2 linked regions of the Oryzias latipes genome follow. The protein of the gene in region 2 interacts with the protein of the main gene of each other region in a biochemical or structural test. Links are inferred from orthologs where the notes say so. Each region holds a gene or a part of one and is shown on either strand. Other genes may lie near its edges. The genes, in order: shh and ptch1.

The links.
Region 1: the proteins of ptch1 (region 2) and shh are reported together in a solved structure, tested with the Homo sapiens proteins (5 studies listed by BioGRID and IntAct, with this or other methods). The link is inferred for Oryzias latipes from reciprocal best matches to the Homo sapiens genes PTCH1 and SHH.

Annotation. Positions count from the first base shown.
Region 1 is NC_019878.2:19,522,024-19,526,305, forward strand, and holds the start of shh (sonic hedgehog protein), read right to left. Parts: upstream 2,835-4,282; 5' UTR 2,496-2,834; coding exon 2,196-2,495; intron 1-2,195.
Region 2 is NC_019867.2:8,902,084-8,906,641, forward strand, and holds the start of ptch1 (protein patched homolog 1), read left to right. Parts: upstream 1-1,655; 5' UTR 1,656-2,045; coding exon 2,046-2,216; intron 2,217-3,341; coding exon 3,342-3,534; intron 3,535-4,558.

The sequences.
Region 1 (4,282 bases), on a different chromosome or scaffold from region 2:
CTATGACAACTGCTGTTTTATGAGGGCTGTTTCACTCGCAAAATGCACTAAAACAACTAGAAAACAAGTTTTGCGCACTTTTAACATGGAACAAAGCGGTGCAAAGCTTTATCCTTTTATTAATTCATCAGGTCGTGTGCCACGAATCAAGCCAAATTCTACTCAGCCACCATGAAGCCCAGCGGGGCGCTTTGGACCGCTGGGCTCCTCGTAAAGTTGTTCAACAGCCTGCCCACTTAATCTTCTCACAAATGATTGGGTTAAAGGAAACACTTGTCAGCTACCTGTCAGTGCAAACAAACTCCCATCTCATCTCTACCTTTACAGAATGGATAAACACGAAAGAAACTTTTATGAGCCATTTAATCTCCTGTAAAGCGTGAAGACCGAAAAACAGCAAAAGATAATTCCGTAATTCAAAAATCAAAAATAGTGGACAAATTAAAAAATAAAGAAGTGCAGTTCTCTAAAAGAAACAACGAAAAACGATGCCCACAATGATCAGATCAGATTGTGGAAGACATGTAGAGAAAATAAATAAAAACTATCTGAAAACTTGTGTAAAGCAAACCAAATCTGCTGATAACTTTCCTGGGGGCGAGCTGCTCCTCCTTCAAAAACACAGTCCTGGCCAGACTTCAGTGAGCTGACTCATTAATTTATTTACTGCACACATCTAACCGAGCTCCTGAAGGCACGTGCCTTACTTCATGTACAACACCTGTTTTCTGAAACACCAGATAAGGAGAGGAGCCGGTCTTTCTGCGTGCGTAAAATCCCGCGCGTAAAAATCAAGTGGCACAAAGCCCAAAACAAAGCAAAAACGTTGCGACAGCTTAAATCTCCATGTGATTATGCTTATGTCATTCACTACTGCGTTCCCCTCTGTTTGGATTTGCATGGTTGAATTTGATATTGCTCTGCTGTGAAATGCACGATGACGCAGGAATAACCTAGTTTAACTTGCGCCGACCCCCGACTGACCAAAAGTTCAAAGTTTATATTGAGTTCCTTTTACACGCACAAAGAGTTGTTGAATGAGGACTGGCTAGTGAGGCGCCAGCCACAAACGACTCAGCAATAAACAGACTTAAACGTGCATTTTAGCCACTCATCCACGTGGACGCGCCCTGCCAGTGCAGCAGGTGGAACATTTTCCAAAGAGTCTTCAGATTGAAGCAGGTGCTTCTATATATGTTTCTGTTCTTCTAATATTCGAAATCACCTCCCGGGCCAGTGATTTCCTCCCCACGAGTGAGACCCTCGAGGCGTCTCACACAGAGGATGAGGGGAGCGCAGGGTGGGGGCACGCGGAGAACGGACGCACGGTGAATATTTTATCAGGCTCATGCGCATGCATGGTTCAGAGCTTCATCACAACCTGCGACGCCATCATCACCACCGGCATTTCATTCTTACTGAGTCAATATCACCCAAGCGGCGTGAATAATTCACCAGGATGGGAGTGCTAAAAAGTCACACTGGAGCGACGCGGCATCCTGCAGAAACCACTGCATCTTTCCACTGTATCGCGTCTTCCTCTCTGCGCTGATTTGATCACCAACGCGCTGCATCAGGAGGGAGCAGAGAAACACATGCCATCCTGATCCAGTCCTGAAGTCTTGATGAAGCTAAAGAAACTGTGCACAAATCCAGCGCAGCCAAACAGCAGTTGGTTGAGGATAATTGTGCGAATGAGCTGCGCCATGTGTTTTGAAGCGGCGCGCAAACCCGACGTTCATGGCTGTTATTACAAGAAAAGGCGCATAAATGAGCCGCAGCATCCAAACAAGCCCTGTATGTAAGTTAGTATGAATACGCGCGTGTAGAGCAACAAATCAGGCTTCATAGAGATACAAATATAGATGTGAATATAGATGTGAGGAGAGGGGCGCATTAATATTTTATATACACTGTCACAACCATGCAGGCCGAGTGTCCTGACTGTTCTCCTGCACATCACTTCTCTGGATTTCAATGCTCGCTTCAAGCCCGCAGCGTTTCCAAACTCCCATGCTGGTGCATAAAGTGCATCTGCTCTCACAGTGAAGTTAAAAGGCTCAGTGTGAAGAGTTCAGCGGCAGGAACAACACACTTCACTTAAGGTGCGCAATCCAGACCGACAAGGAGGTTGTTGCAGTGCGCCGGGATGGTGCGTTAGGAGAAGAGGGGAGGAAATGGTTCTGTCTCCTTACCTGAGTCATTAGCCTGTCGGCTCCGGTGTTCTCCTCATCCTTGAATATGATGTCTGTGTTATAATTGGGAGTCAGCTCTTTAAATCGCTCGGAGTTTCTTGTGATTTTGCCTTCGTATCTGCCGCTTGCCCCGAGGGTCTTTTCCGCCACGTTGGGGATGAACTGCTTGTACGCAAGAGGTGTCAGCTTCTTCGGGTGTCTTCTTCTGCCGTAGCCCCTTCCCGGTCCGCAGCCCATCCCAGAAGACACTAAGGACAAGCAGAAGAGGCCGACCAAAACAAATTTGGCCCAGAGTAGCATTTTCTGTCCACCCTCCTGTCCTTTAAAGATCTCAAACGAGTCACCGGTGCTGGTCTCAGCCGCGCGTCTGTCAGGGCTCTCGCTCCGTCCTTGTCTCGCCTGGTCTCTACCGCGGCAGGTGCGGAAATGAACGCCTCAGACTAACGCTAATAACGGGGCACATCGAAAGAGGGGTTGGAAGAAAAAAAGTAGTAAGGGAATTATAAGCCACGGGATCTCTAGTCGAGCTGCAGCGTGTGTGAGCCGACCGCCTTTAATGCTTTGTATTATAGCACCGATCTATATAGCAGGGGAGGGACTAGACAAACCCTCCTGATGTTGTCCTGCACACACACGCGCGCGCGCACACACACACACATTAAAAAAAAATCTTAAAAGATTTTTCCCACCTGGGGGTTAGCCTCCGCTGCGGGGAGGAGGGGCTCCTCCATGGGAAAACATCAATTATAAACCGTCTTTTTTCACCCTCCCTCCCGTTTTCCAGCTTTCACGAAACACACACACACACACACACACACACGCAGAGGAAGCGCAGACAACTTGCACAATGCTGTGCTCAAATCTGAAGCGGCGCTCTCTTGGATGAAGTGACTTCAACGCGTGCGCTTGCGCGCGCCTGTGCGCATTTATGGCCGAGTGTGCTCCCGGCGCGCGCATGCACACACCTGGATTTGCAGTGAAAAACAAAAATAAATCAATAAATGCATTCAGTGTAAAAAATAAAAAGGAGCAAAGATTGGCATTTGTTCTAACCGACGTCCTGGCATGCAGAGGGCTTTAAAGCACAGAGATAATTAACCCATAACAGGATTTTCTTTCTATCAGGTGATCTAAATTCTAAGAAAAGTGAGCAAAGTGACTTCCAGAGTGACACTGTTGTCTGTGGTAAATATATAACATAAAACGTTCCATAAAAAGAAAGATGTAAAAGCTTTTTACTCCATATTATTCAAATAAAACTAATTAGGAATGCCATCTGTAATGTCACATTCAGATGATAAGTAATGTAAGGAAAATAAAATATAATTGACCCAAAGACAGAAATAAAAAAATATTAATGAGCAAATCTAGCTCTTTAAATCTCAGTTTGGCTATTCTCCAGCATGGTGCACCTCTCATGGTGCCATGCTGGAACAACCAGTGAAGGTGAGACCATACTTGCTGCACAATTACCAAATTTTGATTAAAACAAACTGCTTCCAGCATCACTTTCTCAGTTGTCAAAGAAATTCTAAACATTTTCTCATCAGAAATATTTCTGCAGCTGCTTTTGCAGAGGTGCTATTCAAACACAGCAGTGCTGGGAGTTTACAGTTCCCTGAGGGACACCGCGTGGTACTATTTGGCTCCGGGTCAGAGTGTTGGTTCAGGTGTCGCAGCTCTGAGATCAATCCTGATGTGACACACAAACTCCTTAAAGCCACCGAGCTGAAAGGAGGAGGTGGTGAGAGTCCTCATGTGAATGATCCATGGGCAAAGTGTTGTAATAACAAAAGCAACAACAGGGAAAATATTAGAGACTGAACTGTATTGCTTCTAAGTGACAAAATGTGATGTGGAATGACATGAATAATACAGAAAATGCAATGAATAATGCAGCTCCGAGAGCTCGTAGTGCTGATGGGTTTGAACTTGAGTTTCCCCCACAGAGGAACCGACTCTCAGTCAGACCTGAGGTGCAGAGTATTTACAAAAATGTAAAAATGTCCAAGCAGTTTTCGGGTTTGACCTGGGAATCAGACAGTGAAGGTATGTGCAAGCTCAAAAGTAAGAATTTATGTATTTTT
Region 2 (4,558 bases):
ACTCCCCCTACTGTTGAGGGGTGTGCATTGCGCCATCACGTTTGCTGAAGCATCTTCGATCGATGTAGACAGGGGAGTTAGGGTGCTGCTGCTCATGTCTGGGTAAAGGAATAGCCAATCACAAAAGTGTCTCCGCCTTGTCTAGTTTGATTGACAGACAGACCCATTCTCCTGAAAAAGCTCTTCATGAAATAAATCAGCCATTGTGAAAAACAGCAACATGAAATAAAAACAAAGCTACTTTGGAAAATATTGATTTTGAAATCCGAGGTTCTGAAAAAAGACGTAAAATTATAATATATTCCACATGATTAAAATGAATATATTTAAAATGCTGTTTAAAAATAATGAACATGTTTTTAAAGCAAAATGAAATATATTGAATAATACAATGGCTAATTTAAAATCAGTGTGCAGGTTTTTCACAATTTCATGATCTTTTTATATATTTATGAGAGATTTATTGGTTGATTGTGTATTTGCATGACGTCATATTTATTTATTGAATTAAATATTTATTTATTTACCGGGAGCCAGTTTAGCTCGTGCTGGTTTGCGGCGCCTTCCGTCCGTGAAACCCGGGTTCGACTCCAGGCTGCTCCCTGTTCCCTTCTCTACCTCTGCCGGTTCCAAGCCCGGTTTGAGAAGGTTGCGTCAGGAAGGGCATCCGGCGTAAAACATTGCCAAATTTACCATGCGACTCGTTCGCTGTGGCGACCCCTGATGGGAGAAGCCAAAAGTGGAAGAAATATTTATTTATTTAATTATGAACAGTATAGGACTCCATATCTTTCACGTCTAGTCTGTACCATTATGGAGGTTGCGCATCAAGTTACAGTGGTTCAAGAGGAGGTTCTATAGCATTCTGTGGTGTTTTTAACAGTATGAGAACATTAAGGCTGAAGGACAAACTTTTAAACAGTTTCCACATAAATGAGTGGGTAAAAGTATGGAAAGCAAAAGTGGCACAAAAGTGGCACAACTCCATATTGACTTTCCATACTTGTCCAATAAGATGTACACTCATTGAAAGTGTGTTCTTCAGCCTTACTACGCTGAAAATGATCAAAACATCACATTTAGCATTTTGTGCCACTTTTGCTTTCCATACTTTTACCCACTCATTTATGTGGAAACTGTTTAAAAGTTTGTCCTTCAGCCTTAATGTTCTCATACTGTTAAAAACACCACAGAATGCTATAGAACCTCCTCTTGAACCACTGTAACTTGATGCGCAACCTCCATAATGGTACAGACTAGACGTGAAAGAAGGGGGGGAAAAAGGTTTAAAACTTCACTTCAGACATTCTTCGGGCGTCGACGACGAACAGACCCAAACTTTCGCCTCAGACCCGGGGTCCTCTTTGAGAAATGCCTTGTTTTATGGACCCGAACGTACCGAGTGGTTCGGCTCCGGTCGAGCCTTCCCTGAAGTCGGAGATGCACACACATGAGGTCCGCCCGCCTGGGTGGTCTCTCTACTTTAGTGAGCTGTTGCTAAGCAGCTAATAATAGTCGTGTTTGCTGAGTAATTTTTGCCCTTCTGGAACCAATCAGATCCAAGAAAGTCCTGCAATCTGACAGCCCCAGAGGCGGGATCTGGAGTATTTTTCCCCGACTCCCCTCCTCCTTCTCTGCCTCCAAATGGAGAGAGGTCTCTTTCTCCCCTTCTATTGAATCTCAGAGTTGGCCGTGACGCGCGGCCCAGGGGAAGACTGCAGAGATCTCATCAGAATGCTGCGACCATCGAGCCCTCCAAGCCGAAGACTCGTGTATGGGAATCCCGTTTCTGCACGCCGCGCTTTCTGAAAGAAACCTTCAACTTTTCCCTGAGGATCGGTGAATGCGGTGAGCGCGCTGGAGACCTCCGGATCACGCAATGTTGGGATGGAAGGCGCAGACTTTGACTCGCCGTCTCCAACTGGAGTATGAAGTCCTTCTTCACGGGTGTGAGAGTGAATCTCCGTTGCCTTGGGAAATCGCTACACGCTTTCGGGGATATACTATAAAGTGGGAAACGGTAACCACCGCGCAGTCCCCGCAACATGGCCTCGGCTGCTAATGCACCCTCCGAACAGGAAAACAGAGACCCTGATCGGCCGAGGATAACGCGGAGGAACAGGGGGGACTATACCCGCAACACACCGCTGGATTTGGAGTATTTACAGCGACCGAGTTACTGCGATGCGGGCTTTGCGTTGGAGCAGATCTCAGAGGTGCTCTTTTCTCCTCTTTCCCTCACCAAAATGAGAGCTTCTTATTGTGCCGGTTTCTTTTTGCGTTTCACCAACAGACAGAGGGGTCAGTCTGTGCGTCCCGTCTGTGGAAGGTAACGGGACGGGCTGGGCAGGGAGGGGTGGTGCTGGTTCAAATTTTAGCCAATTTCCTGCCTGGTGTTGGTGCACCGTGGCTTCTGCGTTAACCTGCGGGACTCTGCCCCCCCACCACCACCACCAAGCCTGTGCGCTTCAACACGCAGCTCCCGCCCGCCCGCAGCTCACCACATCCCCGCGCTGTTTCGTAACAAAGCCCCCCCACACACGTGAGGGTGTTTGACAGTCGGGAGATGGGCAGAGGCGGGGGATAGAAACCCATGTGGCTGCCCTCTTCCGTTCACAAATATCGTGGATACCCCCCACCCCCCTGTGACGGCTCCTCCGCTCCCCACGTTGGCCGGAACACGCGAGCAGCTGGACGCGCTCAGGCGCGTGTGCGTGCATGTGTGCGCGCGCGTGTGTGGCATTTGTGGGTTTGACCACATTCAAGATACTTGATATCTGTAGTTGATGAGCTGAGTAAGAGCCACCTCAGGGGTCGAATAGTCTTTTACTCCAAAACACAGACGGAGATGTGTGCGCATTTACGCATGCTGGTTAGTTTGACCAGCCATCTTCATGACACTCCAAATAGAAGCACAACTGACAGATTCATCTTTTTTATTATTATTATTATTATTATTATTTAATCTCCTTTCATCCATATTTGAGGTGCAGACGGAAACCAATGTTGGTTAGTCCCTTTTTCTTGAAGGGTGTCCAGGCTGTGTGTGGGCGATCTGAAGAGGATGATGTTACTATTAGTCCTAAAGTATAAAGTTGTGGTTTATATGTTACTGATCTGCAGTGCTCACTCCAGGGAGCCCTCAGTGGTTTCCACCACAGCAGATCTTCAGGTTAGCACAGTATGTCTGTGTTCCAACAAGATCTCCTTGTCTTGTTTTGCCTGGATTGAAGTTAACTTCACAGATGTGCTTGTTTTTGTTTCTGGGCCTCACCTGTTCAGGTAAGTGTGGTGTTTTTGGGGCTGTGATCGACAGTAACATCAGGATTCTTGTCTTACAGGGGAAGGCGACTGGGAGAAAGGCACCTCTGTGGCTCAGAGCGAAGTTCCAAAGACTTTTATTCAGGCTGGGCTGTTACATACAAAAGAACTGCGGAAAGTTTTTGGTTGTGGGGCTCATGATTTTTGGAGCCTTTGCTGTGGGCTTAAAAGCAGCAAATTTGGAAACAGATGTGGAGAAACTCTGGGTGGAAGGTAAGATACTAAAGTGTTATCTTCATTATAAGTTTGCATGTAACCTGTTTAGTTCTTGCTTAAATGCTGAGATGGAAAAGTCTGTTAGAAGCTAGGAATAAATAAAGAGGGTTATTTGTTGTCAGATCCCACAAGGAGACTTTGAAAATCATTTTTTAGCTTTTCAAACTGTGCAAGAAGCAGCAGTAACAGCCTTCTGGAGAAGGTTGTAATTAAGCCCATAAGCATCCTTTGGTTACAAAAAAAAAGTTTGGTCAAAGCCGCCATTTTGTAAGAGTGTGTGTGTCGGCCCCCAGCAGTTCAAGGCTCAGAGGCTGTGTGTGGTCCTGTTTTGGACAGCTCTCAACTTTCCAGAAAGATGTGTCTCCGGTTGCAGAGAAAAAAGCAGAATCTGGACAGAAGCTGCTGTTTTTAGGCTGGATCTCCCACTTATTATTTATTCCCCTTTTTTTGCTTTTAATGACAAAAAACAAACAAAACAAAAACAATTAAACTTTAGAAAAAAGCTGTGTGCATGGGTTGTGCTTTGATGGAAAGGGGTTGAGGGCTAGGGGGCTGTGCTTTTCTCCTTTCCTTTGATCTGCATTCCTCTGCTTATGGCTGAAGTCAGCAATAGGAGTCATGAATGGAGGAGCAGATTTTGAGAAATTAAACAGAAAAAAGGGGAAGCAAATCAAAAGATTTGTTTTCTGAATGCGACTTTTGCTTACATAACTTTTTTTTAAAAAGTAGCTGCAGAAGTAAAGCAGGGTTACTCCTACAATGTTTCTAGCAGCCCATCTCCTCCCCAGGTTAGCTGTTCTCTCCATCCTGCAAGTGTGTGATAGACAGCTTCCTCTTCTAATCTTTTTGCACCCTTTTAGTCAGTTTGGCAAAAGGGATTCCTTCAAGAGAAACTTTTTAGATTAAACACACTGGATTCCCCTTTTTCCACTGTGTTCATATCAAAAACCAAGATGAATTTAAACTAAAACCTACCTAAACATTAACAGTGCAAACTAGAGCTGTACATTAGAAGAAAACT